2 linked regions of the Arabidopsis thaliana genome follow. The protein of the gene in region 1 interacts with the protein of each later gene in a pairwise test. Each region holds a gene or a part of one and is shown in the gene's direction. Other genes may lie near its edges. The genes, in order: VAMP723 and AT5G10290.

Region 1 (16,031 bases):
TTCTTCTATGTACAGTACAATACAATGGTGAAAAGTCTTTGTTTTTATTTCCTGTATGCTCATCCTGTTATGTTCATTTGCAGAAACCGTGGCTGTCAGAACTGTGAATAGACAGTGCTCATCTGGGCTTCAGGCTGTTGCTGATGTAGCCGCTGCCATTAAAGCGGGATTTTATGACATTGGTTAGTGAATAACCGTCTTTAACTACGCCACATTTTTTCATAGAGAACCGAGCTGACGATATGATGGATGCAGGTATCGGGGCTGGTTTGGAGTCCATGACTACCAATCCAATGGCATGGGAAGGGTCAGTCAACCCAGCGGTACTGATTCTCTCTTATCTGGAGTCTTACTTGGCTCTGTTATTTTAATACGTACTATAATACGGACTATGTTATTTCAGGTGAAGAAGTTTGCACAAGCGCAGAATTGTCTTCTTCCTATGGGTGTTACGTCAGAAAATGTAGCACAACGCTTTGGTGTCTCAAGGCAGGAGCAAGATCAAGCTGCTGTAAGGGAACTGAACTTTTTCAGTATGGTTGTATTTTAAATAACCTATAACTTTGATCGCTATGCTAAGCTATGGAGTCATATTGCTAGGTTGACTCGCACAGAAAGGCAGCTGCTGCTACTGCTGCTGGTAAATTCAAGGATGAGATCATTCCTGTTAAGACCAAGGTATTTTTCAGATCCTTCATACAATAACTGTAACATTTAAGACTTCTCTTGGTGGATTAGTTACTGAACTTCATTCATGTTCTAGTATTAGTCAATAACGTGTGTTTTAAATTTCAGCTTGTTGACCCGAAGACTGGTGATGAGAAACCCATTACAGTTTCTGTTGATGATGGTATCCGACCAACCACAACTCTTGCTTCTCTTGGGAAGCTGAAGCCAGTGTTTAAGAAGGATGGCACCACTACTGCTGGTACTTTTCCCGAATCAATTGTTTCATTATGGAAACCACAGTTCTTATTATCACAATTTTAAATCCATTGCTTCATTTGTTCTGTCGCAAACAGGAAATTCCAGCCAAGTAAGTGATGGTGCAGGAGCGGTTCTCCTAATGAAGAGAAGTGTTGCAATGCAAAAAGGACTTCCCGTTCTTGGTGTATTCAGGTGGGTAATAATTACTTACAAAGCTACGACTGTGGAAGTCTGAAAACCGAAAAAACTGCAGAGGCTTGTGATTTCCATTTACACAGATATGCTAGTATACGTGGAAAATACATTGTTCTTTCTGTATTTGGCTTTTTCTAAGTAGCACACTATTGGACATATTGCAGGACATTTGCTGCAGTTGGTGTTGACCCTGCAATCATGGGTATCGGTCCAGCAGTTGCCATTCCTGCTGCAGTTAAGGCGGCTGGTTTAGAACTTGATGACATCGACTTGTTTGAGATCAATGAGGTATATAGCAAACAATTTCATGATCTTCTTATCACATATCTCTTCCCGCACATTCTGATGATGACCATCTGTTTGAATCCTTGTGTGTTCAGGCATTTGCATCTCAGTTTGTTTATTGCCGTAACAAATTGGGACTTGACCCAGAGAAAATCAATGTCAACGGAGGTGCAATGGCCATAGGCCATCCTTTGGGCGCTACAGGTATATCTGTTAAGAACAGGACTAAAACTGTTAAGCTTGTTCCAATTTACCAAACCATAGAGACTTGAATTAATGAGAATCTCTCAACTCTCAACCAAACCTTAAGAAATCCACAGCCGAGATATATCTTTATAAACTCTGTCCTCACTAATGGTTCTTTAACCAACTTACAAGAGCTCTATCTTGCCGCAGTCCGTCCTTTTCAAAGCATATCAATGTCTACATTGTGTCTATATAATTATAAAACGCTCATGAACAGTTGCTAATACTTGTTAAAACTCTCACAGGAGCGCGTTGTGTTGCTACATTGTTGCACGAGATGAAACGCCGTGGTAAAGACTGCCGTTTTGGAGTAGTGTCAATGTGCATTGGTATGCTTCTCACTCGAATAATTCATTGTGAATTTGGTGTCTGAAATATGTGTCTGAGGGATGGTTTTACTGATTTGGTAAACTCTGGCAGGGACGGGGATGGGTGCAGCAGCTGTGTTTGAGAGAGGAGATGGAGTTGATGAGCTTCGCAACGCAAGGAAAGTTGAAGCGCAAGGTCTTTTGTCCAAGGACGCTCGCTAGAGAGGACCATGCACCAAAACCGTTTTTCACCTCACCTCTCTCTTTTCTGGTCTTCTTGTCACTTTCTTCAGATATTATTATAGTTTCGAATAAAGCACACAACCAATGTTTGCCTGAGTCTTGTGTTGTTCTTGACCAGGTCATGTGTTTAGTATTTTTTTTAAGTGAAGGGGGATAATCTTTAAATCTTTTATATGTAAGAATATTGTTCTTCTCGAATTTCATCAGTTGTTGCTTCTAGAAATTTTAGATTTTTTGGGTGGCAGCCATTTCTATATTTCGATGGATAAGTCAAACGTTCATAAAGTCAAGGGTTCTGCCTTTTGTTTGTGTTTCATGATTTTACCTTGAATTTCATTAACTAAAACAGTGTTAATAGTAACAGTTGGGGTGGTGGCGCAGTTGGCTAGCGCGTAGGTCTCATAGCTACTGAGTGATCCTGAGGTCGAGAGTTCGAGCCTCTCTCACCCCATAATTTTATTTTCTCATAGCTATTTATATAACGTTCCTTCTAGTATTTTTTTTTCTTTTCGTTATAGTATCTTGTCTTTGATACCGGAGACGTTATAACGGCAGTATAAGACGTTATAATCATGTTCCAATGCATCCCCTCAGTTTTGTGTTAAAAACGAGCCATCAATGTTATCATATATGGAAATCATTATTGAGGCTTTGACCAATTAATTATGCGAATTGACCGACTTTGATCACTATACAGAGCAAAACAAATCCACTGAATCATTTATTTGTGTAGGTTCATCTTTTTTGGGCACCGTATTCATTTCTTATTCCATGAATTTGACGGAGTAATTTTGATTTTCTTTTTCGAGTAAGAATCTGGTCAAATATTCGATGAACCTCTACAAAAAAAATTAACCTCTATAAAAGTGTAGATTAACCAAGTGTTTCATCACAAACCATTTCAACGTAAACGAAACAACAACTACTACTCTCAACTTTACACTCTCTTGATAAGTCTCGATGATGAATAACATGAAGCTCTTGATCATCGCTGTGATGATCATCTCGGCAGCTTTGCTTCCAGCGCTTGTGGTCGGATCTCGTCCGGTAAAATGTGACAATTGCATGGACGGTGGAGAAAAAGAAGAGATCATGAAGATGAGTTCAGGTGTAGATGTGAGCCATAGGATACTTCAAGCTAAGAGATTTATAGATTACGAAGCATTGAAGAAAAACTTACCAGCCAAACCAGATGGTAAACCGGATAAACCGGATAACAAATACCGACGTGGTTGCAGTGCCGCTACAGGATGTTACCGCTTTACAAATTAAACATAAACCACCTCTCTCTTCTTCTTCTTCTTCCTTTCGTTGGTGTGTTTTATTTTATTTTTAATTAGTATTTCCAATCACATTTCTTATTATTATATTTTATTGCAATTTGTAAGCCTTTGAGGCATTATCTCCTAGAGAGTTAGAATAAACTTCGTTTAGAAATTGTCATCCTTTTCTCACCAAATGATTGACGAGTGAAAATTGATCTCATCGTAAAGTATTTTTGCGGTCAAGTTCAAACAAATTGATCCCTTCTCTCGCACCATATTCTTGTTTTATTTTATTTAAACGATCGATATATTTCCAAACCATTCCTCCAAAACTATCACACATTCACACCTACCAATTTCAACTTTAAATACAAAATATAGTCTTGTTGTAAATATAAGATACACTTTAGAAGTGTACACGTGAAATTCAGGTATATATATTACAATAGTAAGCAACCTCTAAGTACAATTAAATCAAGAAAAAAATAGATTTGAATTAATAGGAGCGGACATGGGATGCATGTAGAATTGTAGATTATCATTTATTATGGTGACTAGACCATTGAACTTTCCTATAACTTTGAAAATATTCTTATTTAGTCATTTAATTTAGATTACACCAAAACCCCAAATATGCCAAATTTTCTACAAATACCCCAAAAAAGACAATTTATAAAATTATTATCCAACCACATGTAATAATCTTTGATGACTTTTAAGTTTTAAATTTTAATAGTAGATTTAGATAATATAGGAACCAATTATTCAAAGGTCAAAGTTCAAACTAGCTTATCCAAATTCATTTTCGCTGATAAAAATACGTTGAAACTATCAAATAACAAAATACCATTACACCAACATCACCAACTTTTTAAAACCCCACAAGTTGATTATTTGAATTTGCTTTTAGGTCCTCAAGTTCAAGATTGTTTCAATTTGCACAATCTGCATAAATCTTTCTGAAATATAACTTTTTTGCCCTCTAAAACTCAAGGGTTTGATTTTTCTTCTTCAACTACGTTAAGATTTCTCCTACACTTTTCTTTTTCACCGTATTCTCTTTTAGTCCTCGATTCTCTACGCGTTTCAGCGTCAAGTCTTCTAGATCTCTAAAGCCTTCGTGCTCGCCAATATAAATCTCTGAGATCGGTCCCGTAAAATCGGATTCGCGTCGTTTTTGAGTAAAAAAAATGGCGCAACAATCGTTGATCTACAGTTTCGTCGCTCGTGGTACCGTTATCCTCGTTGAGTTCACAGATTTCAAAGGCAATTTCACATCAATCGCTGCTCAGTGCCTTCAGAAGCTTCCTTCTTCTAACAACAAGTTTACCTACAACTGCGATGGTCACACGTTCAATTACCTCGTCGAAAATGGATTCAGTGAGTCAAAATATTGCTCGATCTGTAAGCGTAGCTTGTTTGTGTTTTGATTTATCCATTGTTTGAATTAGATTTTTTGCCTAATTGAGAAATATGAATCGAGTTCTTATGTTTGGTATAGTTTCCAGTAATAATTATGTATTGGCGTTGATAATTAATTGATGTTAGATCTATGGTAATCAGTGATATTTTTGGTGGATCTATCAATGAATATTTGCAATTTTTGTTCTGGATCTATTGATTCTTTGCTTATTTGCGTGTAGCTTTCGATATCATGAAGTTTTTGGCATTAGTGTATTGTGTTCTTTATGTAACTCTGTTTTACTAAACCTAATTGGGTTTTGGGTGATGTTGATGGCGGATATGGTCTCTTTATGATAGTGTTAACTTTCTTATCAGCGATATATTGATGAATCTATTGCTTTATCTCTTAATATAGAGTTTAAAATGGACCGGTTTTGTTTTCGTTTGTGCAGCCTATTGTGTTGTTGCAGTTGATTCTGCTGGGAGGCAGATTCCTATGGCTTTCTTGGAACGAGTTAAGGAGGATTTCAACAAGAGATATGGTGGTGGAAAGGCTGCAACTGCTCAAGCAAACAGCTTGAATAAAGAATTTGGGTATGTGTTTTTTGATCTCTTTGATTGGTATTGAAAAGGGTCTATGATTCATGGGCATAGTTATTGATGGACTTCTTTTTGGCTTCTCTAAAGGTCGAAACTGAAAGAGCATATGCAGTATTGCATGGATCATCCTGATGAGATTAGCAAGCTTGCTAAGGTTAAAGCTCAAGTGTCTGAAGTTAAAGGTGTTATGATGGAAAACATTGAGAAGGTTTGATTCTGACCCTTTTTTCTTTTTATCGATATAGTTTTATGTTGTAAACCTTTTCGAACAGAGTTCAGCTTGTATGACTTTAGTACCAGGATCTTATGATTCGTAAAGCATAAACTGTAGAGAGGAATGTTTTATTCTCGGTTGTGAAGACATATTCTGTTGTTAACTCGTTTATGCATTCGTTTGCAGGTTCTTGACCGTGGTGAGAAGATTGAGCTTTTGGTTGACAAAACAGAAAACCTTCGCTCACAGGTTTGTTTTCTAAATGGTTCAAAGTCAATAGACCCACACAGAGACATGCAAGAGTTTGCAGCTTTCTCTTACTGATTGTTGTTTCTTGGGTTTCTAACTTTAAATTTGAACTCGACTTTATCACAGGCGCAAGATTTTAGAACACAAGGAACTCAAATGAGAAGAAAGATGTGGTTTCAGAACATGAAGATAAAGCTCATTGTCCTTGCAATTATCATTGCCTTGATTCTCATCATCATCCTCTCAATTTGTGGGGGATTCAACTGCGGTAAATAAGTCTGGAACATTTCTTCCCGGCGTTATCGACTGCGCTCTGTGCTTCCCAAGATCTCTGAGAATATCTTCATTCAGTTCGTTGTGCTACCTTTTTGTTTTGTTTTTGTTTTTGTGATTTCTATATTCTCATACTATATGTTTCTTCTTAGATTGTACTTCTTGAAATTTGTTTTGTATAGGCTATATATATTATACATATATGTATGCATGTTCGACAATCTGCAATGTTGCTATTGCTGGTACTGACACTAATTCTTGCAAACCAATATTTGGACGATACTTGTTCTTGGCAATTTACTAATTTCTTTGGTCTGTTGATGAGACTCTAGTTGCGGATTGCAGTGAGGTATAAGCATAGTCCACAGCCGGTTAATATTAAATGGAGATGAATATGTAATTAACACGGTTTCGTCTGACCGATTCACCAGAGTCTCCGGTTAGTTCATTAAGGGTTTGCTCAAACGCTTTCTCCTCTGCTTCCCTAATTTCGGAAACATTCGCCTGATTTTCTGAGATTTTGGAATTTCTTCGAATTGATTGCCATGCTGAGCTCAAGATTTCGACTGCTGAAATCGAGGCGACTTGCGGAGCCACCTCCGGCTGATGTCGCGGTTATGTGTATTTGCAGGAAATGAAAGTGATCTCCTTATTGCGGCAAATCAGCCACTTCCTGTCGACTAAAACTGTGGTGCAGCATGTAAGAACAAATGCAAGTTCGGACAAACGTGTTGTCTTGGTCAGTGGTTTTACTTGGCTTAGTCTTCGATTCTCTACGCGTTTCAGCGTCAAGTTTTCTAGATCTCTAAAGCTTTCGTGCTCGCCGATATAAATCTCTAATATCGGTCCCGTAAGATCGAATTAGATTCGCGTCGTTTTTTAAGGAACCAAAATAATGGCGCAACAATCGTTGTTCTACAGTTTCATCGCTCGCGGCACCGTAATCCTCGTCGAGTTCACAGATTTCAAAGGCAATTTCACATCTGTCGCTGCTCAGTACCTTGAGAATCTTCCTTCCTCGAACAACAAGTTTACCTACAACTGCGATGGTCATACGTTCAACGACCTCGTCGAAAATGGATTCAGTGAGTCAAAATATTGCTCGTGATGTGTTTGTGATTGTGTTTTCGATTAGTCGATTTATTCATTGTTTGGATTAGATTTCTTTTTACCTAATTGAGCATTTGAGAATCGAGTTCTTATGTTTGGTATATCTCTATGACTTATCTGAGTCGAGTTCTTATGTGTTTACCGTTTGGTATAATTTCAGGAATAGTTATGTATTGGGTTTGATAATTAATTGATGTTAGATCTATAATCAGTGATATGTTTGGTGGATCTATTTAAGCATCTATGCAATTCTTATTATGAATCTATGATTCTTGGCTTCTTTGCGTGTAGCTTTTGTTTTCATGAATTTGGCTGGTTTTTCAAATGAGAGTTGTTTGGGAAATTTGTGGATATATATCGCTCGAGTAAATTGCATTGGTGTATTGTGTTTATTATATTGCTCTGTTTTAATTAAACTTAGTTGGGTTTTGATGACGTTGGATATGGTCCATATCATATGGACTCTTTATTATATTTTTTAAGTTTCTTATGAGGGATATGTTTGTGCAGCCTATTGTGTTGTTGCAGTTGATTCTGCTGGGAGGGAGATTCCTATGGCTTTCTTGGAACGCGTGAAGGAGGATTTTTATAAGAGATATGGTGGTGAAAAGGCTGCAACTGATCAAGCAAATAGCTTGAATAAAGAATTTGGGTATGTGTTTTTTGATCTATATGATTGGTATTGAGAAGTTTGTATTATTCATGTCAATGACAGACTCCTTTTTGGCTGCTCTAAAGGTCGAATCTGAAAGAGCACATGCAGTATTGCATGGATCATCCTGATGAGATTAGCAACCTTGCTAAAGCTAAAGCTCAAGTGTCTGAAGTTAAAAGTTTAATGATGGAAAACATTGAGAAGGTTCGATTCTGACCCTTTTTTCTGTTAATGGTATAATTTTATGTTTTAATCTATTTCCAGTAGAGTTAAGCTCGTATGAGTTAAGTGTCATGATCTTTTGGTTCCTTAACCTTTAAATTGATGAGGGGAATGTCCAGTTCTGGGTTGTATAGGCATGTATGCTGACCGTTTTTACATTGTGGAACACATTCATTTGCAGGTTCTTGCCCGTGGTGTGATATGTGAGATGCTGGGTAGTTCAGAGGTTAGTTCTCTTAGGCATATGGTTCTAAGTTCCATACACATAGATATGCTTGAGTTGCCAGTTCTCTCTTACTAATGTTGTCTTGGGTTTCCAACTTTTAATTGAACTCGAAACTGTCACAGTCACAGCCGCAAGCTTTCTATATAAAAAGAACTCAAATGAAAAGGAAGAAGTGGTTTCAGAACATGAAGATAAAACTCATTGTCCTTGCAATTATCATTGCCTTGATTCTCATCATCATCCTCTCGGTTTGTGGGGGATTCAACTGCGGTAAATAAGTCTGGAACATTTCTTCCCGGCGTTATCGACTGCGCTCTGTGCTTCCCAAGATCTCTGAGAATATCTTCATTCAGTTCGTTGTGCTGCTTTCTTTTTGTGGTTTCTAATTTCTAATTTCTGCTATGTCCTTTCTACTTAGGTTGTACATAAATATTATACATATATGTATGTCCTTTCTTCTTTGAAATTGGTTTTGTATAGGCCATATATATGTATGAATGTTTTTGCTATTACTGGTACTGACACTGATTCTTGCGAACCAATACTGTGACGAGATTTAAATATGTAATTGGCAACTTACAAATTGCTCTGGTCTGTTGATGTCTTAATGAAGGCTCTAGTTGCGAATTTGCAGTGATGGTGATAACGGTGTAACATAGCCTAGATTGGAGACGAGTCTGTTTGGTCTGACCGGTTCAGCAGAGTCTTTTTTTTTTTTTCGTCCTTCAGCAGAGTCTCCGGTTAGTTCGTTTCTTTCGTTGCTGCCACATCACCTCGCTCGAACCTTTCTCTTCTGCTTCCCTAATTACGGAAACGATTCGTCTGATTTCGATTCTTCTAAACGATTAGTCGGCTAGCCATGTTGAAGACGACGCGCTCAAGTTCTCGACTACTGAAATCGAAACGACCTGCGGAGACACCTCCGACGCCGGTCCGAAGGCTTCTGGACTGGAGGTGATTTGGCGTCTAACCGATGGATAGCTGCGACTGCGATGCATTGTTAAGGAAACAGACAGAGATGAGTAATCCAAATGCACCTGTGACCTGCTTTGGTATTGTTTCTGATTCCCCTCCTATGTGAAATTCAATGCTTGTTAAATTAGGGAAATTTGGTAAAGCTAAACCCTTGGTTTCTAGCTTTAGAGTCTGATATTGTATTAGAGAGAGTGTTTTTATGTGTATCTTTGTTATCATTTTCGATGATTTGATCTATCTAGTTTTCTCACAATGTTATACACAATCTTTTAACCATTGATAAGCAACCTTCATTGAGATAGAGAGAGGCAAAGCACAAAGAAAGGAGATTTCAGAACTCAAAAGATTTCAGTTTTAAGTTTTCCTTATAATAGAAAAGGATCTATTAACCGTTGAAATTCTAAAGCTTTTACATTTCCTTCCAAACTCATTCCTCTGTTTTCTTATTTTCCTCTTTTCCTAAATCAGGTTTGTCAAAAAAAAATAAAAAAAAATGGGTTCAGTTTCTCTCTGAAGAAACCAAACGACCCAAAACAAGATAATTCCATAATTGTAATGGCTTCAAGTCCACCCAAGAAGACCTTAAATTCACAATCTTCTTCCTTAAGCCGGCCTCCACAAGCTGTCAAGTTTGGTCGCCGGACGTCCAGTGGTCGCATTGTTAGCCTCTCCCGTGACGATGACATGGACGTCTCTGGTGATTACTCCGGCCAAAATGATTACATCAACTACACCGTCCTCATGCCTCCAACACCTGACAACCAACCTGCTGGCTCCTCTGGCTCCACCTCGGAGTCTAAAGGTGATGCTAACCGAGGTGGAGGAGGAGGAGACGGGCCCAAGATGGGGAATAAGCTGGAGAGGAGATTGTCTGTCATGAAATCAAATAACAAATCAATGTTGTTGAGGAGCCAGACGGGAGATTTTGATCATAACAGGTGGTTGTTTGAATCTAAAGGAAAATACGGTATTGGAAACGCGTTTTGGTCAGAAGAGGATGATACCTATGATGGTGGCGTTAGCAAGTCCGATTTCTTAGACAAGCCATGGAAACCTCTCACGAGGAAAGTTCAGATCCCGGCCAAAATTCTTAGTCCCTACAGGTGATTGTTTGTTTTCACATTTTAAAACCCCTCAAGATTTTCTGCTTCTTTTATTGATGTCTATTACAGAACATCAAAATCTTACAATTAGTCCCCTTGTTTCAGGTTATTAATCGTGATTCGTCTTGTGATAGTCTTCTTCTTCCTTTGGTGGCGTATTACGAACCCTAATGAGGATGCAATGTGGTTATGGGGACTATCGATAGTCTGCGAGATTTGGTTCGCTTTCTCTTGGATTCTTGACATTCTTCCGAAGCTAAACCCTATAAATAGAGCTACTGACCTTGCTGCCTTGCATGACAAGTTTGAGCAGCCCTCTCCGTCAAATCCCACTGGTCGCTCTGATCTTCCCGGTGTTGATGTGTTCGTTTCCACGGCTGACCCTGAGAAGGAACCGCCTTTAGTCACTGCAAACACCCTTCTCTCGATCCTTGCTGTGGATTATCCAATTGAGAAGCTTTCTGCTTACATTTCTGACGATGGTGGTGCAATTCTCACCTTTGAAGCTATGGCTGAAGCTGTTCGTTTTGCTGAGGTTTCATTTCCGCTTTCTCTCCCTCTGTATCTTAACTAGTCTATTAGATGGTGGCAAAAATCTAAATGGTTTTGAATTTTGTTTGCAGTATTGGGTGCCATTTTGCAGAAAACATGATATAGAGCCACGGAACCCGGATAGTTACTTTAGCATTAAAAAGGACCCAACAAAAAACAAGAAAAGGCAAGATTTCGTCAAAGATCGTCGTTGGATCAAGCGTGAGTATGACGAATTCAAGGTCAGGATCAATGGTCTTCCAGAACAAATCAAGAAAAGAGCTGAACAGTTCAACATGAGAGAAGAGCTCAAGGAGAAGCGAATTGCCCGAGAGAAAAATGGGGGTGTATTGCCGCCAGATGGGGTTGAGGTGGTAAAAGCAACGTGGATGGCTGATGGTACGCATTGGCCAGGGACATGGTTTGAACCTAAACCTGATCATTCAAAAGGAGATCACGCCGGAATTCTACAGGTATGAACCATCAACTTCATTGATTTCAAGTAAAACCATGAAAACTTGTCAAACTTGACATAATGTTTTGTAGATCATGAGCAAAGTGCCTGATCTTGAACCGGTGATGGGCGGACCGAATGAAGGCGCGCTAGATTTCACAGGGATTGATATTCGTGTACCTATGTTTGCTTATGTCTCGCGTGAGAAACGTCCAGGTTTTGACCACAACAAGAAAGCCGGCGCTATGAATGGTATGGTTAGAGCTTCAGCCATATTATCCAATGGCGCGTTTATCCTCAATCTGGACTGTGATCACTACATCTACAACTCCAAAGCTATCAAAGAAGGAATGTGTTTCATGATGGACCGAGGTGGTGACAGGATCTGTTATATTCAGTTTCCACAACGGTTCGAAGGAATCGACCCATCAGATCGATATGCAAATCACAATACTGTCTTCTTCGATGGTGAGTTGTTACATTGATTTGCAACACAGCAAAATTGTAATGCTTATGTTACAAGCCACCATAACTTAAACATTATTCCGGTTCTGAAACAGGTAACATGAGAGCATTAGATGGGTTACAAGGTCCTGTCTATGTTGGAACAGGGTGTATGTTCCGAAGGTATGCTCTCTATGGATTCAACCCACCTCGAGCCAATGAGTACTCAGGCGTGTTTGGTCAGGAAAAGGCTCCAGCTATGCATGTCCGGACTCAGTCCCAAGCATCCCAAACGTCCCAAGCGTCTGATTTAGAGTCTGATACACAGCCTCTTAATGATGATCCAGATCTTGGTCTGCCCAAAAAGTTTGGTAATTCGACCATGTTCACAGACACTATTCCAGTTGCAGAGTACCAAGGACGGCCTCTAGCAGATCACATGTCGGTTAAAAACGGAAGACCACCTGGTGCTTTGCTCCTGCCACGACCTCCCCTTGATGCTCCAACAGTGGCTGAAGCCATCGCTGTCATTTCTTGCTGGTAACGTTTTGAAAAAAGAGATATGCTCTGTTAGTATAAATGGATATGTAGTTAAAAATGTTGAGTTTATTTGGCCTTTCAGGTATGAAGACAATACTGAATGGGGAGATAGAATCGGATGGATTTACGGGTCGGTCACGGAAGACGTGGTGACAGGTTATCGTATGCATAACCGTGGTTGGCGGTCCGTTTACTGCATCACAAAACGTGATGCTTTCCGTGGCACAGCTCCAATCAATCTCACTGACCGTCTCCATCAAGTTCTCCGTTGGGCCACAGGCTCTGTAGAAATCTTTTTCTCCAAGAACAATGCCATGTTCGCCACCAGAAGGCTCAAGTTTCTCCAGCGAGTCGCCTACCTCAATGTCGGGATCTACCCTTTCACTTCCATCTTCTTGGTCGTCTATTGCTTCCTCCCTGCTCTCTGTCTCTTCAGCGGAAAATTCATCGTCCAGAGCCTCGATATCCACTTCCTCTCCTACCTTCTCTGCATCACCGTAACCCTAACCCTAATCTCACTCCTCGAGGTCAAATGGTCGGGAATCGGACTGGAAGAATGGTGGAGAAATGAACAGTTTTGGTTAATCGGAGGCACAAGCGCTCATCTTGCAGCAGTCGTTCAAGGTTTGCTCAAAGTTATAGCCGGAATCGAAATCTCCTTCACCCTGACATCGAAAGCCTCAGGAGAAGACGAAGACGACATCTTTGCGGATCTTTACATTGTGAAATGGACAGGCTTATTCATCATGCCGCTTACAATCATCATAGTCAACCTTGTTGCGATAGTGATTGGAGCTTCGAGAACAATATACAGTGTGATTCCGCAATGGGGCAAGTTAATGGGAGGAATATTCTTTAGTTTATGGGTCTTGACTCATATGTATCCGTTTGCTAAAGGATTGATGGGTCGAAGAGGAAAGGTTCCAACGATTGTTTATGTTTGGTCCGGGCTTGTGTCGATTACCGTCTCGCTGCTTTGGATCACCATTAGTCCTCCAGATGATGTTTCAGGCAGTGGAGGAATCTCAGTGTAAATTTGGATCAGAATGTAAAAACTGAGGATTTTTAACTCTATTTTTTTTTGTTTGTAAAAGTAATTTTGGTTTATGTAAATTTATGTTGAAACAGACCAATTCTTGCTGTACTTCGTGTTAGCTTTTGATACACACCGTTGTTACATGGAACAGAAACAAACAGTTTTTTTTCATTAGTCCCATGGCTTTTATAATCTCTGTTTCTTCTTACAGAACAGAGGATCAGATTAAGAGAGAACGAAAAGAGAGAATTTTCAAATATACTATATTTGACGAAACTACCCTTGTTGGTCATGAACGTTGAATACCTGATCTGACAGATTTACCCTTCGTGGAACTTGACAAGAAAAAAGGAAATTAGTATCAGCCGACGTTGTTTCGTTGCGTGGACCTGAAGGAAGCTTCCTTTAATTTCCTTTTTTCGTTTAAGTCTCCACTTTTTACGCTCTCTATATAATATCGGACACTCTACTTCTCTCGTTCCATAATTCGATAACCAAATTTGAGAGAGTGAAACCCTAATTAGATAAGAATGGTAGATCACGGTATGTTCTACTCCTCCAGGATGAGTACTCTTTCTTCCAACGGAAGAGGCGACGCTTATACTTGCAAAAAAGCTCTTCACTTGACTCTGAATAAACCTAATGTTGTTAAAGCATGTTCGGATTTGAAGAAGAATGAACATCAGATATCTCGTGATTTTGCGGCAGAGACTAAGAAAAAGACTGAGTTTTTGGTGTTGAAGAAGAACAACGATGAGAGATCTAAGACTGGTGAAGTAACTAGAGAGAAGAAGCAATCGGCTCTACCTCTGAAACTTTCTAAAACCCCTAGATCTGGAACGGGAGAGATTAAGCAAACTTTGAAGAAGCGTGGCCTTTCCAAGTCTGTTCCAGAAACATCGAGGCTGATCAAGTTGAAGAAGCAGCCGCCTGTGAAAGTATCTGACAAACCTAAGAGTTGTCCTGTCTTGACGAAGAACGACACGGATACGTTGGAACTGTTCGAGATCGCCAAAAAATCTGCTGATTTTGCCAACGCAAAGGGAATACTCGCGTCTGAAGTAGAGACATCAATGTGTGTAGATACCCTCACTCTGCTCTTGGAGTTTCCCATCAGCGCAAGAGATATGGAAACAAGGAAGCTCATGGTTAGGCTAGAGCATCTTACAAAACACAAGAACCGAAAAATATGCAATTCTGCTTCAAAACTTCTTCAATGTTGGAGGGAGAGTATCAGAGAGCAACAACTCAGAGAGTCCCGTAAAACTCAAGGCTAAAATGTCACTAGGGAATTGAAAAGGTTGTAACTTGAAAACGTTGGTTGGTTGCTTATTCTTTTGCTTAAAGTAGAGTATTGTAGTCACTAATTCAATTACATTACTCAAACCCTAACAGTGAGAGGAATATGTATGTATTAAGGATTTTCACAATCTCTCTTAGCTTTGTGTTATTCAAGTTCAGTGTGTATTTCTTCTGTTTAGGCAATCAATGAAATTAGAGTTTTGTTCTGAAAATTTGTTTTCAGTTGTCGATTGTAACTGAGAGACAATAAGTCAATACTTGAGAGAGTTTCTCATTTGCATAATGGTTTTCCAACATAAGCTCAAAGATCTTCTATTAAGAGAATCCATGGAACTAAAAAAGTTAAGAAATCAACAGTAATGGTTATTAGTTTTCTATGCATTTGTGTCTTTATTCGGAAACAGCCCTCCTGATATATCGAGCGGACTGTTTCAAGAGGTGATGATAAACACTATTCTCCATTGTCAGAGCAGAACTATTTTCCTAAACTTACAGTTATCTCGGTAGCAAACCTTCTTGGGGAGACCATATGGCGTGTTCATCATGATTCCTCTGTGAGTGAAGGAAGATAAACAATACTTCAAATGCAATTTTTGTTTTAAGAGAATATTTGGGTCTAATAAAGCTTTTTGATATTCTCAGGGAGCTTTTGAGCTATTTTCCTCTGCTTTTTCCCACTCCTCTGTTTCATATTTGTATATGACATCAAGAGATAGATATGTACGTGTATGAATGTAACTATTGAAAATTCATCATTCCAACATTAACCATAAAAGTAACTACTTCATAACAAGACCAACAACGACTTGACATGCATTCAAAGATCAAAAGCAAAACCGAAACAAACCAATTATCTTAACAAGCCAATCCGGCTTGTATGAAGCGATGACTTGAGCTATAGCTAATCCAAGCAACAGTCCAGTCCCATATCCTGTTGCCACTGCTTTCCAGTTCAGCACTTGCTCCTGTTCTTCGTCTTCTTCCTTAGGTTGTTGTGTTGGCGGCGCATTCTTTCCAGAGCAAGTTTCCTCCAAAGGAAGACCACAAAGCCCTGCATTCCCTTCAAAGGAGGATTTATGTTGCCCAATAATCTGTGTTCCTTGTGGTTTTCACCCTTGAGTTTATTGTGAGATACATTTATGTATGCCAAAAACGAGAGGGTCTTGAGTCCATTAGGAATAGTCCCAGAGAGTTGGTTTCTTGACAGGTCTAATGACTCGAGCT
Region 2 (17,613 bases), on another chromosome or scaffold:
ATTATTACATATAATCGGTGGCAATAGCAGAGAGAGAGTCAAAGAGTTTTTGGGGTTTGGAGAGCATCACCATGTGATCTCCGCCATCGATCTCGTAGACTTTCGAGACGTTGAAATTATCAATCATCCAACGAATGAAATCGCAGGGGATGGCTTTGTCTTCACTACTCATTACGTAAACTCGTTGCACCGAACCATATCCTTCCTCGCTAAACTTTTCTTTCTTTGATAGATCCTCTGTGAAAAATGACCCTTGCCTATGCAACATTTTTGCCAGCTCGTAATCCTTCACAGTGTAACCATCATGTAACCACACACCAAAACTAATTAATAATCATCTCATACGATGATTCATATTCGAAAACTTTAGCACATAGTTTGAATATAGATTTTGTTGTTTTGGCGTAACAAATTTTAGAGATTTGTGGGAACAATACCTCTATGGGACAATTTTGGTAAAGACGTGCCTTCATGAATTTTGGTCCCATCTTCAATAAACTCATCGTCCCATTTCTTGTTTCATGAGATGAAAACTCACAATCTCCCAAACCTCCAGGCATCTCCATATACTTTATTATTATCATCAACCAAACCAAGAATTATTTTCATGGTATTAAGATAAGTTGGTCAAATTATAAAAAACTACTAGTATCAAAATTATTTTTGTTATTTTATTGTTAACCTTGTCCAGAACGTGAGAAGGCACGTGGGTTGTGTCGGGCAAGAAGGCGTTGAGGAACACAAGAACCTTAATCTTCGCCGGAAATATGTCGGCGGCGAGAGCGATGTTGATGCCTCCGAAGCTGAATCCAACCAGAATTACCTCTTCGTTCTCTGGAAGAGATTTGAGGGTTTCGATCAACGGTTTGGAGTATTCGTCGACGGTTTCAACGGCCTGGATTGGTCGTGGGTCGATCCCGGAGGCGGCGAGTTCGACAGCAGTAACGCGGTGGCCGGCTGATTCAAGGAGGGGCTTGAGCTTGTACCAGATCCAGGCTCCATGATAAGCGTTGTGAACTAACACGAAGTGATGTTTCCTCTCCATATGTCTCCGTAGACGTTTTCTTTTTGGTTAAGGTTCTTTGCTTGTTTGAGAATAGCGTGATAAAGTTGGGATATGAGTATGACGTTATTATTATATAGTGATAGTGGGATAAGGTTCATATACGTTACGCTGTTAATAACTTCTTATGTTATGACACATGTTCAGATTTACTAGTCTCCTCGGTCGGCTGTTGTATACTTTTGTATACTTGTATTTAGATATATTTTAAATAAATAAAGCAGAATTCTGTAATCACACTTAGCTAAATTACATTAATTTTTTTGGACATTTAAAAAAATATATGAGTACATCACAGTTTCAATCTAATAACGGACCAACACATGTAAGATTTTGACATCCGCGATTAGATGGACGTAAAAAAGGCTTAATTAACGGAACTAATTGAACACGATAAACACGTGCCTGTTAAGTGTTAACCGACCTAATCTTCATATTGATCTGAGAATCTTCACAGCTTCCCTTCCTTCTTTGAGTCTAGCCGGCCCATGGGCCGTGAAACACTGTGACTGTGACTCTCTTTTATTGACTCATTTTAACCTTTTCCTTTTGCCTTTTGGTACCAATTTTTAACTTTTCCTTTGTACAGGGAGATTCGCTTCCTTTTTTTAGGCTGGCCATTTCGTCTTAGTGAGTGGTGTATAGTTGGCCATTTCAGTCAGCTGTATTATAGCCTCATTGTCAATGATGTCGAAAATCATTCCTCAATTTACACAATGGTTGTCAGGTAAAAAACAACGAGAGTTGATAAGTAGATTTAGGAGGGAAAAAAGAAAAAGACAATTTAGTTAGTCTTCTTTTACATCCACGTAATTAAATAGCACATCGTTCCAAACATCATTATCAAAGTTCATTAGTTATTTAGGGAAATTACAAGTTGCACGGAGAAAAAGCAGTTCGTGGACCAACATTGGACTTTTCTTTCAGACAAAGGCCATTAGCGAGCGAGAGTGATAATTGCGAAATTGCCAAAAAACGCAAAGTCTACCACTAGACAAGAAAATCGAAGCTTTTCACTTTCTCTTTTTTCTGTTTTGTTGTCTTTGGTTCTACTCTCCGCACTGAATCTTTCGATCAGCGATAATTGTTTCCTTCTTTTGGGATTTTCTCCTTGGGTACGAGGTTCTTTCCTTCTTTTATTTGCTCTGTTTTTGAGATTTGGAATTGTTATCAAGTCTGACAAAATTGGTCACTAATCTTTCTGGGAAATTGAGCATGTTCGTGTTCTTGCATCCGTTTGACTCTTTTTCTATGCAAAGTCTCAACCTTTCAATAGTGGAATTTATTCTTATCCCTAATTTCTCTTTACCAGACCTATTTTTAGCTAAGTTTGGTTGAATTTAGAAAGTCTTTGATTCATAGTTGAAGAGATTCTCTCCATTAATCTTTCTCTGTAATGTGTCAGATCCACTAAAAGTAAGTAAGAAAAAGATTTTGTTGTAATGTTATTAAATGTGTCTTTGTAGATGGAACCAGCTCAATTAATGAGATGAGATGAGAATGTTCAGCTTGCAGAAGATGGCTATGGCTTTTACTCTCTTGTTTTTTGCCTGTTTATGCTCATTTGTGTCTCCAGATGCTCAAGGTGATGCCTTTTCTTACTTTTCAACTGCTATTTTGTTGCTCTCATTTCTTGTTTCGTTTCTGGTAATTTCTGAGCTTGTTCAGGTTGAAGATTTAACTCTATGATTCTTTGCTTTTCCATTTTCAGGGGATGCACTGTTTGCGTTGAGGATCTCCTTACGTGCATTACCGAATCAGCTAAGTGACTGGAATCAGAACCAAGTTAATCCTTGCACTTGGTCCCAAGTTATTTGTGATGACAAAAACTTTGTCACTTCTCTGTAAGTTTAATGACAACTCTGAATTAGTCAATGTTGTTTCCATGTGAGAAGATTTATATTCATGTCATTTGTGATTGCAGTACATTGTCAGATATGAACTTCTCGGGAACCTTGTCTTCAAGAGTAGGAATCCTAGAAAATCTCAAGACTCTGTAAGTGCTTTAGATTGAGTCTCTCTTTTTGTCTGAAATCCTAGAACATAGATATTAGGTTGTGAGCATTTCGCTACCTTCTTTTTATATATAGTACTTTAAAGGGAAATGGAATTACGGGTGAAATACCAGAAGACTTTGGAAATCTGACTAGCTTGACTAGTTTGGATTTGGAGGACAATCAGCTAACTGGTCGTATACCATCCACTATCGGTAATCTCAAGAAACTTCAGTTCTTGTAAGTAGTTCCGCCTCACAATGCTGTTAAATCTTGCACATGTTTTAAAACATTTTTAAGACGTAGAAAAGGATTACTCATGTCTTTATTCACTTGTGTGTTGGCTAAACAGGACCTTGAGTAGGAACAAACTTAATGGGACTATTCCGGAGTCACTCACTGGTCTTCCAAACCTGTTAAACCTGTGAGTTACTGTTCTTTGTGTTTATGCTTACCATCTTTCTGGAAGCATCCTTGTCTTAATTCCATTGTTTGAAACTATGTTTACAGGCTGCTTGATTCCAATAGTCTCAGTGGTCAGATTCCTCAAAGTCTGTTTGAGATCCCAAAATATAAGTATGTTTGACTACTTCAAGTTTAATCTAGCATGCTCATTTCTTTAGCAGTAATTTGATCTGTTTCTAATCGACTATAGTTTCACGTCAAACAACTTGAATTGTGGCGGTCGTCAACCTCACCCTTGTGTATCCGCGGTTGCCCATTCAGGTAAACTACTTCACTTTGCGATTGCTCTGACCGCATTTTCTTTATTTTCAACCATTTCAAAAGTATGAAAGACTGAAAACATCTAATCTGCGGTGATAGGTGATTCAAGCAAGCCTAAAACTGGCATTATTGCTGGAGTTGTTGCTGGAGTTACAGTTGTTCTCTTTGGAATCTTGTTGTTTCTGTTCTGCAAGGATAGGCATAAAGGATATAGACGTGATGTGTTTGTGGATGTTGCAGGTCTGTAATATACCCTACAGGGAAACCTTTCTTTCGTATTTCGTATTTCGGTATGTTATGATGTATTGATATGCAGATTTGTGGAACTTTACTATTTTTCAGGTGAAGTGGACAGGAGAATTGCATTTGGACAGTTGAAAAGGTTTGCATGGAGAGAGCTCCAGTTAGCGACAGATAACTTCAGCGAAAAGAATGTACTTGGTCAAGGAGGCTTTGGGAAAGTTTACAAAGGAGTGCTTCCGGATAACACCAAAGTTGCTGTGAAGAGATTGACGGATTTCGAAAGTCCTGGTGGAGATGCTGCTTTCCAAAGGGAAGTAGAGATGATAAGTGTAGCTGTTCATAGGAATCTACTCCGTCTTATCGGGTTCTGCACCACACAAACAGAACGCCTTTTGGTTTATCCCTTCATGCAGAATCTAAGTCTTGCACATCGTCTGAGAGAGATCAAAGCAGGCGACCCGGTTCTAGATTGGGAGACGAGGAAACGGATTGCCTTAGGAGCAGCGCGTGGTTTTGAGTATCTTCATGAACATTGCAATCCGAAGATCATACATCGTGATGTGAAAGCAGCTAATGTGTTACTAGATGAAGATTTTGAAGCAGTGGTTGGTGATTTTGGTTTAGCCAAGCTAGTAGATGTTAGAAGGACTAATGTGACTACTCAAGTTCGAGGAACAATGGGTCACATTGCACCAGAATATTTATCAACAGGGAAATCATCAGAGAGAACCGATGTTTTCGGGTATGGAATTATGCTTCTTGAGCTTGTTACAGGACAACGCGCAATAGACTTTTCACGTTTGGAGGAAGAAGATGATGTCTTGTTACTTGACCACGTATGTATAATCAAATAATCCTACCTCGAAGTAGCTTCTCTCAAGCTTTATTGACCGTAATCTTTTGGATCTTTTTTTTGTTTTGGACAGGTGAAGAAACTGGAAAGAGAGAAGAGATTAGGAGCAATCGTAGATAAGAATTTGGATGGAGAGTATATAAAAGAAGAAGTAGAGATGATGATACAAGTGGCTTTGCTTTGTACACAAGGTTCACCAGAAGACCGACCAGTGATGTCTGAAGTTGTGAGGATGTTAGAAGGAGAAGGGCTTGCGGAGAGATGGGAAGAGTGGCAAAACGTGGAAGTCACGAGACGTCATGAGTTTGAACGGTTGCAGAGGAGATTTGATTGGGGTGAAGATTCTATGCATAACCAAGATGCCATTGAATTATCTGGTGGAAGATGACCAAAAACATCAAACCTTGAGTTTACTGTAAAGTTGCCAACTTCACTTTTTTGTTTTGTTCTTCGGTGAAGAAGTAAAATCAGTTGTATAAATCTTGTTTTTGTTTCATGATGTATCTTTTGACTTTAATAAATTCTGTGAATGAAAAGAACTATGATGTTTTGTTGACTTTTTTCGTTGACCGCAAGAAACCTTTTTGTCGTCTTATACTGTCAGGCCTATTACAAAGTTGTCGTTTATATGGGCCTAATATGGGCTTTTAAATACATGTTTTCTGTCCCAAGTTGTCCTAGTTTTGCCAACTCAATTTATGATTTTTTTTTTTAATTATATCACAAAATAAAGATTTCTGTATTCTCTGACATGAAAATTAATATTTATTATTGAAAAATCGTTGTTTTCATATTTGAATAGAAAACAAGAAGAACAAAAAATTAACATATTTTTAATCATCTCTAAATTGTGTTAGATACAATAGCAATGTATTTTAAAGATTTTTATGTTCATGATCGAAAATATCCAAAAATATTTAAGATTGAAGAATGGATAATAATATACATTATCCATTGACAAAAAAAATCTATACATCATTATCATTTGGATACGGATGAAGTAAATTCCCTAATTGCACAAGATCTTTACAAGCCTCGATTATGTGTCAATTCAACATTATAACAAAATTAATAATAATAAAATAGATTCAATGAGTGATTTTTCTATAAAACCTAATGAGAGATCACTTTATCTGACATCACATACTTAAAGGGCCTTGTCTTTTAATTATTATTAAATCTCTACTTGGCCTTTTTATATTATCGTTAGCCAGCCGATCACATGCTTCTTCACTTCTTCCATTATTTGATCGATCTTCTTGGCAATCAAATCAACATTTAGACTTAACCAATGATATAATGAAACAACTCAACATTCAAGCTCTAATATGTGTTGTTTTAGAGCAAAATACGTGGTCTTTCATATGTTAACATATTTAAACTCTAGTCTCTAGCTTTAATTTGTTTGATTTTCTGCTTAAAGATACACAAACTGCTCTTTGATTTTTTTTGTGTGTTTTCATTCACATAATAACAGTTTGTCTATTATTTGTTATGACATCTATATTCATACATGATCCGAATGTTATCACTTATCACCATGGAAGGAAGTGTAAAACAAAAGATTCAAATAATCAGCAAAAACCCTAATTATTAAATACCATACAACTACAACTACAACTACAAATGATATCCATTTCACAAAAATCTTATATATATATAAACTCTGTGCACAGAGACATATGCTAAAGAACATTGACAACAACATATGCATATGAGTATGAAATCTCTGTACTGTACATTCTACAACATGAGTTACAAATATATGATGTCTCTACAGTATTTATATATATATAGATAGGCAAATAAAAATCTCCAACAAGCACAATTCCAAGAGTAAATTTGATTTGAGTTCCTCCAAAGTACATACCTGAAAGTAAAGACAAAAGAAGGCTAAGGAATGTCGGAAAATATAGAATCATCCAATAGATGATCAGGCCATGCAGCTGAAGCTGAAGCTCCTGATTCTTGACCGCTTGAAGATGTGATATTGCTATTGACATCTTCAATACCGTATTGGTTAAAAATCAGATCATCATTCACATGAGCAGGAGTTGTGCTGGATGGATCCGAGAGCCAGATTGGAGACACGGGTAGGTTTTCTCTTTGAGTGGAGAATTTGAAGTGATTGTCATCAAGATTCTGGGGGAAAACAGATGATGGTTCCATGTTGGAATTTAGGGTTTTCAGGGAAGGTAAGCTGTGGAAGTCCTGAAGATAAGAGCCGAGGAAACCGAGGTCGAGATTGTTGCTGGTGGTATTATTACTGGTCTCTTTGAAAGAGGCAATAGAGTTAAGGAGACTGAGAGTGTCAAAGTCATTAGGGTTAACATTGTTACTCATGGAAGACGGTTGAAGAAGGTATTGGAACAATTGGAGTTTGGCCATCTCGGTTTGGAGTTTGAGTATAGTGTGTTCTTGATCAATAGGAAACTGTTGTTGCAGATCAACAAAGCCTCTCAGGTTAGAAGACAAAGACATGAGCTGAGATAAGCCGGAGAAGATATCGGTTCTTGGACGGTGAGTCATTGGATCAAAACCCATCTGAATCAGCTTCTTCTTCAAATGAGTGTTCCAGAAATTCTTGATCTCGTTATCTGTTCTCCCTGGTAACTGATTCGCAATCGTTGACCACCTTATAACATCATCATTCATAAGCAATCAGTATAAGATAATCTGGTACACAAACAAAACCGTTGACTAAAACATCAAAACAATCATCACAAGATTAATTACTTGTTTCCAAGAACTGAATGAAGATTCAAGATAGTCTGTTCCTCGTCCGGAGAGAATCTCCCTCTCTTGATGTCTGGTCTCAAGTAGTTCGTCCATCTTAGCCTGCAACTCTTCCCACACCTGTTAAGACCTGCACAGAGAGAATCACATGAGAAGCTTAGACTTAAGACAAGCTTTCAAGAAAGAAAGAACACAAAAGCATTACCAGCGAGTTTGGGAAGGGCTCTCCAGCTACTATGACCATGTTTTTGAACATAGTTGACAAGTTTCTCATCTTCATCAGGAGTCCAAGGACCTTTCTTGAGACCAGAGTCATCAGAGATAGGAGATCTTCCCATGTTAGATGATCTTCTCTTCTCTGTATCTAAATCAACAACGGTTTCTTTTTCTTTTCTTTCTTCCTTCTCTATACTGTTATAATTGTCTCTGAGATTTGGTTGCTTGCCTCCTTCCTTCCTTCACAACCACTAACTGCTTCTTATTCCAATTTATATTAAACCTAGCATCCTTTTCTCTTCATGTCCATTCACCACGTGCTTCTTTCCTATTCGCCTACCAAAACAACCATGTCACTTTCACCTTTCAATTCCATTTTTCTAATCATTTTCTTTTATACTCTCACATACGCATTCCTTTACCAGTGTGATAAAAATCATTCAATGTAAATTCTTCCTCTTGTCTTAAAGCAACATCAGTATCATCTCGGGAACAGCCGTCTCCAACGGACAAACACATAACAATCGATTTGTTTTTTGTCTTTAATTGGGAAGCAGTTCATTAGTTGCCATCACTATGCCCTAGTACCAAACCCCTGCATTTGTCAAGAAGAATAACAACAACACATAGTTATTGCTTGGTCTCTTCACAATCCAAAACTCTAGTCTAGGTTATTGAATGGTTCAGCTCATAAAAAAACACAGATCAACTAAAAGCAAGAAGGTTAGATCATCTTTCTTATGAAATCCATAAAAGATCTTCTCCGAGTAGGTGATGATGGAGGAGAAGGGCAATAAAGGATATTTGACAGGAGGGCTAAACTTTTAGGTTGTATTTTTTAATCATTGGAATGACAAATAAAATGAGAAAGAATTTGTGAAATATAGAAGTCAGCGCCAACAACACATGGCAACAAGAGGGTGGCCAAAGAAGAGACATCTCCTCTGGCACGCAAAATTAGGTTTTCCTCGCATCATCCATTTCCATGGCCTATTAGTTTATGCATTTAATATTTCATATTAGCTATATTTTTATTGTATTTTTCTACATACCGATTAAAGCTATGATCAACCAACTAAACAAAACGGAAGGCAATGAACCCTAAGAGCTTGCCGCTGAAAATGAGAATCTTTCAAAAAAGTCCTGAGAGATTATTAAAGCAAGTAAAAGATGTAAAGTGGTCCAATAGTGTAAAAGAAAAAGATGCAGAGTGGGTTTGTTATGACCGTGTAAATTTCTTGTTTGACACATCATGATTAAGTCCATATATAGCAAATTTTAAGGTATTACTTACAGAGATTGCCAATCCCTAAAATGCATTTTTCTAGGAAGAAAAGATACCAAATGAAGAAACCGACAGGAAAAGCATACACTATATCGTTAGAAGAAAACTTGTAAGATTATGTTTTGTATCATTTTGTGGCAATACATAAGAAAACTTGTAAGCTTATGTTTAAAATCATCCTTAATTATTTCCTAAGCGCATTCAATGAAATTTCAGCGAGCAATAGCAATGGACAGATCAGAAAGAATGTCAATGTAAGTCAGGGGCAAGTTTGGGTATAATCAGAAGAAGTACTTACTATTGATGATGGTGACAGGCTTGATATGACAGATTTTGACCACTAGGGAGGAGCTGGTTAGGGGAGAGGTGGGTGCAGAAAATGATCTAAATCTCCACCATCTTTAAAACCTATAAGACTTTCTCCCTCAGCCTAAGTATTGCACCCAATGGCATATCTTGAGCTCTTGTCTTTTTCTTCTGTGTCTTCTATATAATGAAGATCACAGGTTCCGTGCACAAAATTCAAACTGAACGACATAATATCAAGAAACAAAATCTAATTAAGAAATAGAGAAAAATCAAACAAGAAGATGTTTTACCAAATGAGGGCATCAAATCTGTCAGTTTCTAGAAGATATTTTAGTGTATTCAGTAACTGTAGCCTGTAGGTGAAAGTGAAATGTGATACTCTGACTCTCTGAGCAGGTTTTGTATGGATTTGCATTAACATATTTTCACTCAACTCATTTTCTACCTTCACTGCAAATATAAACATACAGATATACATGAAGCTTGACAAACTAACATTGCCTAGAGAACCCAAAAATTATAACGTTCCTTATATATATAGAAGATTATAAAGCCATCTATCAGAAGAGGATTAATAAAAGCCATTATCTTAATTTTATTTCATTATACATTGAAACTCCATGGTAGCATCTGGATGTACACTATGGTTTTCGTTGCATCATATTTGAGCCTACGACTCTAGAAGTATCATCAGACCTAGGTAACAGAAGCCTACAAATTAAAAAAAAAAAGACGAAATAATTCTTACAAAAACTCAATTAAAATTAGGGAAAGAAAGATTATAATTGCTTGTTGAATTAGGGTTCCTCTCAGAGTGGAGGAAGCAGGTGAAGAAAATATTAAAGAATTAAGGAAAGCACTATAGGTTTTTTACAAAAGTATTAATTATGAAATATGTGATGTCACTTAAACCGTTCTTTTCCTCTAATTAAAAAACAACAACAACTTGGTTTTCATTGTCAGCTAAACAACTGAATTGCTTCTTCTCCTAAGTTTCAAACCAACGCGTCTAAAAGCTCGGACTTTCTATGTAACGAATGAAAATATTTAACCCTTGTATTATACCTATATATTGAATGTAAATGTGAAAAGCAAAACTCGAGATCATCTGCAAATATACCTTTAATCAATTTATGATACCAAGCATTTTGCAACCAACTTTTAAGTTCCACAAAATCGATAAAACACAAATTATAAGTTTGTGTATGAGGATTTATCTGCAGTAATGATTAAACTCTTGATACTTACAGAAGTCAGACGAAATTAACCAAGATGCTCGTGATTCGAATATCATCAGCATAGGTTAGGTTCCTGAATGAAATTCCAATGAGTGACGAGAGTGGTGACTGTAAAACCAAGAAGAACAAATATGAGACACACGTGTAACATCACACACGCATGCACACGTATATAAACCTATAATCTTCATGACCATCCTCTTTTTCAACTGTTCATATGGTAGCAATCTTATTGGAATACAGAAATTGGTTTCTATTTTATCTGTAGTAATCAAATTAATGATGGTTACGCATAGTCAAGGATTAGTTTTATATGATAATGATCTAAAAGGCATTAATCTTTTGAAACTCATGTATATTATTCAAATCTGAAAAGAGAAATTAACAAGAAATCACCGGTTCAACATCTTCTTGCTTACTCTTCATTTAGAATAGTAAATTAGCACATACTTTTCTCAACCGTTACGCCCAACATTGCTGGAACATCTGCTAGAAAAAAAGCATCGTCACAAGAAACCTCGAGAACATGACAAATAAGAAAAAAAGAAAGAACAAGAATGTCTACCATTAGTTTATATAAAGTCAGTCAAATATTATATGCCCTAAACTGTGTGGTCTTAAGCGGTATTTTTGTTAACAATCAACCACTAAATGTCATTTTAGGTGGCTGAACTTCTTTTGTCGTGGACATCGTTTTACAGCTCAAGACAGTGAAAGACATGGATGCTAACAACGGAAAAATATATATGTCATCCACGAGCTCTACACATATTGGATGCATTAATAGTATCTATCATTAAGTAAAATGTATCCATATATAAAAGGAAAAACAGATGAAGAGGAATTATAATACGAATAAAGTTTCACTATATGCAAAAAGAAGGAAAACTATAGAGGAATGTGTACCTATACCTAATGGGTCTTTCCTACAAAAAAAGTTGCTCAATGACAAGAGGTAATCTAGCTCGTACTTAGTTAGGTGCATCCGTGCATGTAACCAGTGTGTCAACTAAATCTAGAGGAAGCAATAATTCAGGATTTAAACCATCACAAGTATCTACCAAGTTCAGAACATAGACGAAATCACGAAATGAAAGAAATTATGATTTCACGATGTCATTGTTGACAAATTTCTCTAAATTTTCAAGAATAGAACCACTTCAGAAGATACACTATGAAGTTCAGAAGATTGTTTTACCAGGAAAGCCAATAGGATCACATCTCTTTCTATTCTTGTTCAAGAATTTGCATCTCCAAGACCCTTTTAAGGTATTCATATAATATTTTTTTGAATGATACTTCCTGCCAAGAAATAGATTCAAACAATTAATTTTGAGCCCACTGCATGTATTAGAAGAGAAGGTTACTATAGGATAGCATGTTGTACATTTAGGATTGTTTAACCTAAATTTTGTTAGACCAAATCTAAAAAAGCCCAAACTGAAATCATCATACAGAAAAACCCATGAGCTCAGAGGGGAAGAACTAGTAGCTATCATCAAATAAGAAAGTAGTTTAAAAAAAAAGTTAACTAGGCATCATAGAACAAGCCAGCGATTATGTTTATTTGGGTATATTATATAAACATATATCTTAATCATCAAATTAGAAGAAAGAAAATTATATATATGGGAAATAAACCTACCACTCCTCATCATGGTATATAAGCATCATCTGTCATGCATCTATTGCAAAGTGGTACAGAAAAAAAAGAGTGTTTAGAACTGAAAAAAGGATTAGTAGTGGCTTTATGATCAAGTCGGTTTTGATTGAGTTCACCAAGTTAGTGGTGCCTTCTCACTAAAAGCTTTTTATAGGGATTTTCATCAAAGGTCCACCTTCAGTACATACTAAGACAGATAGGCAATTATTATGGTTGAAAATAATGTATGTAAATCTTTATTAGTTTCACAAATCTGCACTAACATCTAGACAACTTGAACATATATCTTCTTGAACATATAAACTACCTTTTGAAATTTGAGTTTTACGAGGAAAACTAGACGAAGTTAGTGCAAAGTATAAACCAAACAAACAAGATTGTTTACTATAAACCAAAGAAACGAGATTATTTCAGTAAATAAATCTTAAACAAGTATAAAAAGTCCAGCTTTCACTTTGACAAATGGGGGACAAAAAAGGCACAGCTGAATAAAGTTTGTTAACTTTTACCAGTCATGTGATAAAGGTGGAAAGGTAGATTTCTGTCAACTTTTTCATGATTTATGTGCTTGAAAATATGACATTCCCAAGACAGTCCCTTTAACATCACCAATCAATATAGCTCAAAACCAGTGATAAAACCATACAATTTTGAAATACTCTTATCATTGTAAGTTTATATGTGCATGGAGAAACCACATTTGCTTAAATAAAAATTGTATAGAATGAAGTAAAACTAGTTAAAGATTAGACAAAGATATGGGAACTAAAAGCACCAACAAACCTCAGAACCTAAGAGAGGTGGCCACACCACTCGCCGTTTATGTTCTTTGAGTTCATCGTTTCACTCACCAGCAAGCATCAAGCAGAAGACAAAGAGAAAATCTGAAAGACCCTGTAAAAATAACATTGTTGCTTTTAAGAAGGTAGTAGCTAAAGCAAACAGGCTAAAGTGAATTATCTTTTCACGAAAGTGTAAGAGTTTAAAGACAAAACCGGGGAAGCTTTTTGCATGAAAAAGTAAGCCACATGGCCTGACTCAAAAAAGTACGAAGATCTCTGCATGAACATATACGTAAAGAACAGGATACACAATAGAATAATCTTGACAAAAGCATCATAAAAAGCTGTGCGAACTCTAAAACACATGGTTGGGGTTGGTAATTAAGTCAGGTCTTTAAATTGAGTTCCAATAAAGAAAATAAAGCTATCCAGGAGCAAACCTTATAAGTCACCTTTAGATCTGCTCTTTGTCCTAAACCTTTTGTATTTATTCTAGATTAGTAGCACTTAACATTAAGTAAACACTAACCTATTCTTTTGAGCTTCACAATTGTCCCTATCTTTTTCAGAGACACGGAAAAACACAAATTAAGAATTTCATCCAAAAATAATAATAACACTAAACAAATGATGATACAGTTTGAGATGCATGATTAGAATCTGTTAGTAAACTGTAGACTGATGGATGTGAACAACACAACGATTGCAGATGCCAACCACAACTTAAGATAATTCTTACCAAAAAAAAAAATCAATAAAACTTTGCATAAAAGTCTATAAATTTGACGATTTCCACAATATAATATTGTGGGCAGATAGATCTTTCAGAATACCTTTGACTTATACCCTCAGATAGATTATATTAGGTAAATCCTCTCATGGACTAGATCATTGCTAATTTGCTATTTCAACTGTTTAGTTTTCTAACAATTAGGATGATAAAAAATCTGGAAAACTCTCTTGTACATGAAGCAAACATGTGAATCAACACATTAACAAGCAGCACTCAACAACAACAACAACAACAAGACATCAGAATTATTACAACTTAGAATCCTGCAGTTTTGCTAGCTACCCCAAGAGGAGATGAGATACCTGAATTGAACTCTGGTTGCTGACCTTCGATAGCAAACTCCTACAGCTTGAAACTGAAACATGGTAACAGAGGCTTCTCATTGCCAATGTAGACTTAAATATGTGTTGCTTTGCATCATTTATGGACCAGAAAGTGGGATAGTTATACGTGTTGGACATAGAAGTCACAAATGGCTGACCACTCCCTTGAATTAAGAAACACAAGAATAAAATATCACTGAAATCACCAGAATAGTAGGAGATGGTAGAACAACTCCACTACGTAGTCATCATCCCACAGAAGAAAGTAGCTTGGAAGAGGAATGTTTTGGTTAGCTTGAAAACTACACCATCAGACAGAAAAATCAGTAAGTAGGATCATATCTCAACCCCATTGTGGAATATGAACCAAATATGCAAGTCAATTTCTTCTACAGACAGTGGATTGGATGAGAACATTGTTTATATATAGTCTTAACATTATTTTATCATTAGTTCATTTTGAAACTTCCATCAGTCAGATTCCCTATATATATAGTAAGTTCATAAAACTAAGAAGAAAAAGCCTATATATCTTTCATATCATTGTGGACCAACAAACTTAAACAAAACCAAAACATCAACGGATCAAGTTCAAGAAACATATATAGCACATACTTAAGATACTTATCTATCTTTCCCATCGCCCAAGTCGAACTCTAATATCGGTTACAAGAAAAAAAACCTAGCATGATTCATAAGAGATAAAAGAAATATCATCCATACGAAACAAAAGAAGGGAAGATTTATGTATAGGGTTTGATTCAAGTGAATGACCATAGAGAAACATTTTCCTAGAAATCACAAAACCCAAAATTAGACCTACCCACACCAAAATCAAACTTCCGAAATAACCGTCCTTCACCGATGTTAGCATGAAACCTAAATTGAATCGGGTGAGTTAGGAGTTAGGACCAATAGCCGATGTTAGGGTTTGACAATGAGTAGGGAGATAGTGAATCGTGTCTTCCTGTAGGTAAAGAAACCGAGATCTAGGGTTTGGTCGAGATTCGAATGTTCTCGTTCTTCCTTTGAACCAGAATGGTCGTGTACACGGTTAAATGGCGTGATAAGCACGCTAACACTTCAGGAGTAATCTGTTCCTATCGCACCTCTTGTCACAGACGGTGAACCCACTGGAAAACCTAAGTGATTTTCTTAATTTTCCCGCTATTTTTGGGATTTCTCAAATTCGCCTCCAATTTTATTTACGAAAATCAAATTTTATCTCGAGCAGTAAATCTAGGGCGTTCGAGTGTCCACTAGTTTTTCTCTTTCTTTATAATATATCTAAGCTTGAAAAATAAATATTAATCAAAATGTATGAATGTTTACTTTATAGAACAATTAATGTATGATTTTTGTAATTGCAATTTGTTTTTTTTTTTTGTGACTTGTGAGTGTGCTTGGCATTGGCATGTTAAACAATTTTGTTGTCAAGTCTTTTATGATGAGAAAGATACATAAGAAACATAATCCCATAATTCCAATTTTTAAAAAATGGAGTTTGTATTTTAATAAATACTTTTGAAAAGATTATTTTTGTTGTGGTATTTTTGAAAACCGGTCAATAAAAATGATATTTGATATTTCTTTCATTATTTTATTTAAATTTAACGGATGATCGCTAATTTACACCAACCGCTTGTTCAGGGTTAGACCGGTTCAAACCGGACAATTCATAGATTTAAACCGAAACGCTAATTACATAAATAAGCTGGGAAACCTACGGAGAGAGAGTTGTCTGAGAGAAAAGGAAAGCGATCGAGAAAGACGTAATTTGATCATCGGAGTAAAAGATATTGTTCGACAGTGGGACTCCCGGGAACGAAGATGGCGATGGCATCATTCGGGCAGCTAAATCTCGAGGAACCTCCTCCAATCTGGGGATCTCGCAGCGTTGATTGCTTTGAGAAGCTCGAACAAATTGGTGAAGGCACTTACGGGTTATTCACTTTCTCTTTAATTCAATTTCACTCTTTGGTTATTCAAAAGGCTTAATTTTTACTTGGGATTGATAAATTATTGGCCTTTGAAGCGATTTTTGATTGTATGATTAGGCTTTTACAATGCCTATGTTGTGTTGCTTTTAGGAGATTTGATTGTTGTTGTTTTGCTGTTGCAGTCAAGTTTACATGGCTAAAGAAATCAAAACTGGTGAAATTGTGGCTCTCAAAAAGATACGTATGGACAATGAAAGAGAAGGGGTATGTGAATTCTTCACTTTATATGGACTATACGTTTTTTTTATGATGCTCACTATGTTTAGAACAGATGCAAGTTTTTGTTTACGATAGGAATTGTAACCCATTGTTTACAACTGGTATGATGCAGTTTCCTATAACAGCTATTAGAGAGATAAAGATTCTGAAGAAGCTTCATCATGAAAATGTCATTCAGCTGAAAGAGATTGTGACTTCACCAGGTTTGTTTAAGGAACACATATGTTGCACTGAATTAAGTTAGCTATTTCTATATAAAGAGGTCTAAACATTTTGTGTTTTGAATGGTTCTGTCTCTTAAAAGGTCGGGACAGGGATGACCAAGGAAAGCCAGGTTTGTGAAAAAAAGTGATTTCAACTACTGTCTTAGTTTCTGCTTATTGAGGATTTCTTCTTAACTAAAGGTTGTGGCTTTTTCACCTATAGATAATAACAAATACAAGGGTGGCATCTACATGGTTTTTGAGTACATGGATCATGATTTGACTGGACTAGCAGATCGTCCTGGACTGAGATTTACTGTTCCTCAAATTAAGGTATTGCACGGCTAAATAGCTCGTTACTTCTATTAGCCTTTTTCATACTTATTGTTCAACTTTATTCTAACACTCAATCCATTTAAAAGTGTTACATGAAGCAATTGCTTACCGGGCTTCACTATTGTCATGTGAATCAAGTGCTTCACCGTGATATAAAAGGTGATTTTCCTTAATACAATGTTGATGTTTGGTTATCACCTTTACTTGCATATTAACCTAGATTTTGATCCAGGCTCAAATCTCCTTATCGACAATGAGGGAAATTTAAAGCTGGCTGATTTTGGGCTTGCACGGTCGTATTCTCATGATCATACTGGAAATCTTACAAATCGTGTCATCACATTGTGGTATAGGTAAGCCTAAAAATCGTCATTCAAAGTTTACATGATATACATAGATAGTCTTAATATTATGGTCTTTGCTAATTCATTGTTATTACTACTTTGCTGATTTACATATATTGCGGCAGGCCCCCTGAATTACTACTTGGGGCTACAAAATATGGCCCAGCAATTGACATGTGGTCGGTTGGTTGCATATTTGCCGAACTTTTGCATGCAAAACCAATCTTACCTGGGAAAAATGAGGTCAGCGTTTCATCTTTGCTGAAAGCGCAGTTCTTTTGAAAATT

Evidence for each region.
Region 2: the proteins of VAMP723 (region 1) and AT5G10290 interact in a protein complementation assay, tested with the Arabidopsis thaliana proteins (one large-scale study listed by BioGRID).

What each region holds. Positions count from the first base shown.
Region 1 is NC_003071.7:14,033,966-14,049,996, reverse strand, and holds VAMP723 (vesicle-associated membrane protein 723), read left to right. Parts: upstream 1-6,607; 5' UTR 6,608-7,104; coding exon 7,105-7,294; intron 7,295-7,829; coding exon 7,830-7,971; intron 7,972-8,057; coding exon 8,058-8,178; intron 8,179-8,377; coding exon 8,378-8,422; coding exon of another isoform or gene 8,423-8,497; exon of another isoform or gene 8,498-8,544; coding exon 8,545-8,700; 3' UTR 8,701-8,959; downstream 8,960-16,031. Other genes in the region: PKT3 (peroxisomal 3-ketoacyl-CoA thiolase 3), read left to right, coding at 84-182, 256-323, 404-511, 601-678, 796-928, 1,023-1,119, 1,287-1,410, 1,503-1,611 and 2 more; RALFL18 (ralf-like 18), read left to right, coding at 3,165-3,476; SAR1 (synaptobrevin-related protein 1), read left to right, coding at 4,660-4,873, 5,326-5,467, 5,561-5,681, 5,874-5,936, 6,063-6,212; CSLD1 (cellulose synthase-like D1), read left to right, coding at 9,953-10,500, 10,606-11,035, 11,124-11,504, 11,578-11,953, 12,046-12,469, 12,552-13,503; AT2G33090 (Transcription elongation factor (TFIIS) family protein), read left to right, coding at 14,036-14,782; RLP28 (receptor like protein 28), read right to left, coding at 15,760-16,031. UniProt on the Arabidopsis thaliana protein: Involved in the targeting and/or fusion of transport vesicles to their target membrane.
Region 2 is NC_003076.8:3,223,116-3,240,728, reverse strand, and holds AT5G10290 (leucine-rich repeat transmembrane protein kinase family protein), read left to right. Parts: upstream 1-1,920; 5' UTR 1,921-2,178; intron 2,179-2,330; exon of another isoform or gene 2,331-2,529; 5' UTR 2,530-2,557; coding exon 2,558-2,648; intron 2,649-2,774; coding exon 2,775-2,907; intron 2,908-2,987; coding exon 2,988-3,059; intron 3,060-3,153; coding exon 3,154-3,297; intron 3,298-3,409; coding exon 3,410-3,481; intron 3,482-3,567; coding exon 3,568-3,633; intron 3,634-3,712; coding exon 3,713-3,783; intron 3,784-3,882; coding exon 3,883-4,023; intron 4,024-4,125; coding exon 4,126-4,862; intron 4,863-4,952; coding exon 4,953-5,267; 3' UTR 5,268-5,471; downstream 5,472-17,613. Other genes in the region: MES5 (methyl esterase 5), read right to left, coding at 5-286, 438-569, 683-1,045; MYB92 (myb domain protein 92), read right to left, coding at 6,773-7,514, 7,616-7,745, 7,821-7,953; CDKC;1 (cyclin-dependent kinase C;1), read left to right, coding at 16,055-16,167, 16,347-16,428, 16,556-16,646, 16,748-16,777, 16,870-16,979, 17,069-17,141, 17,215-17,335, 17,452-17,569.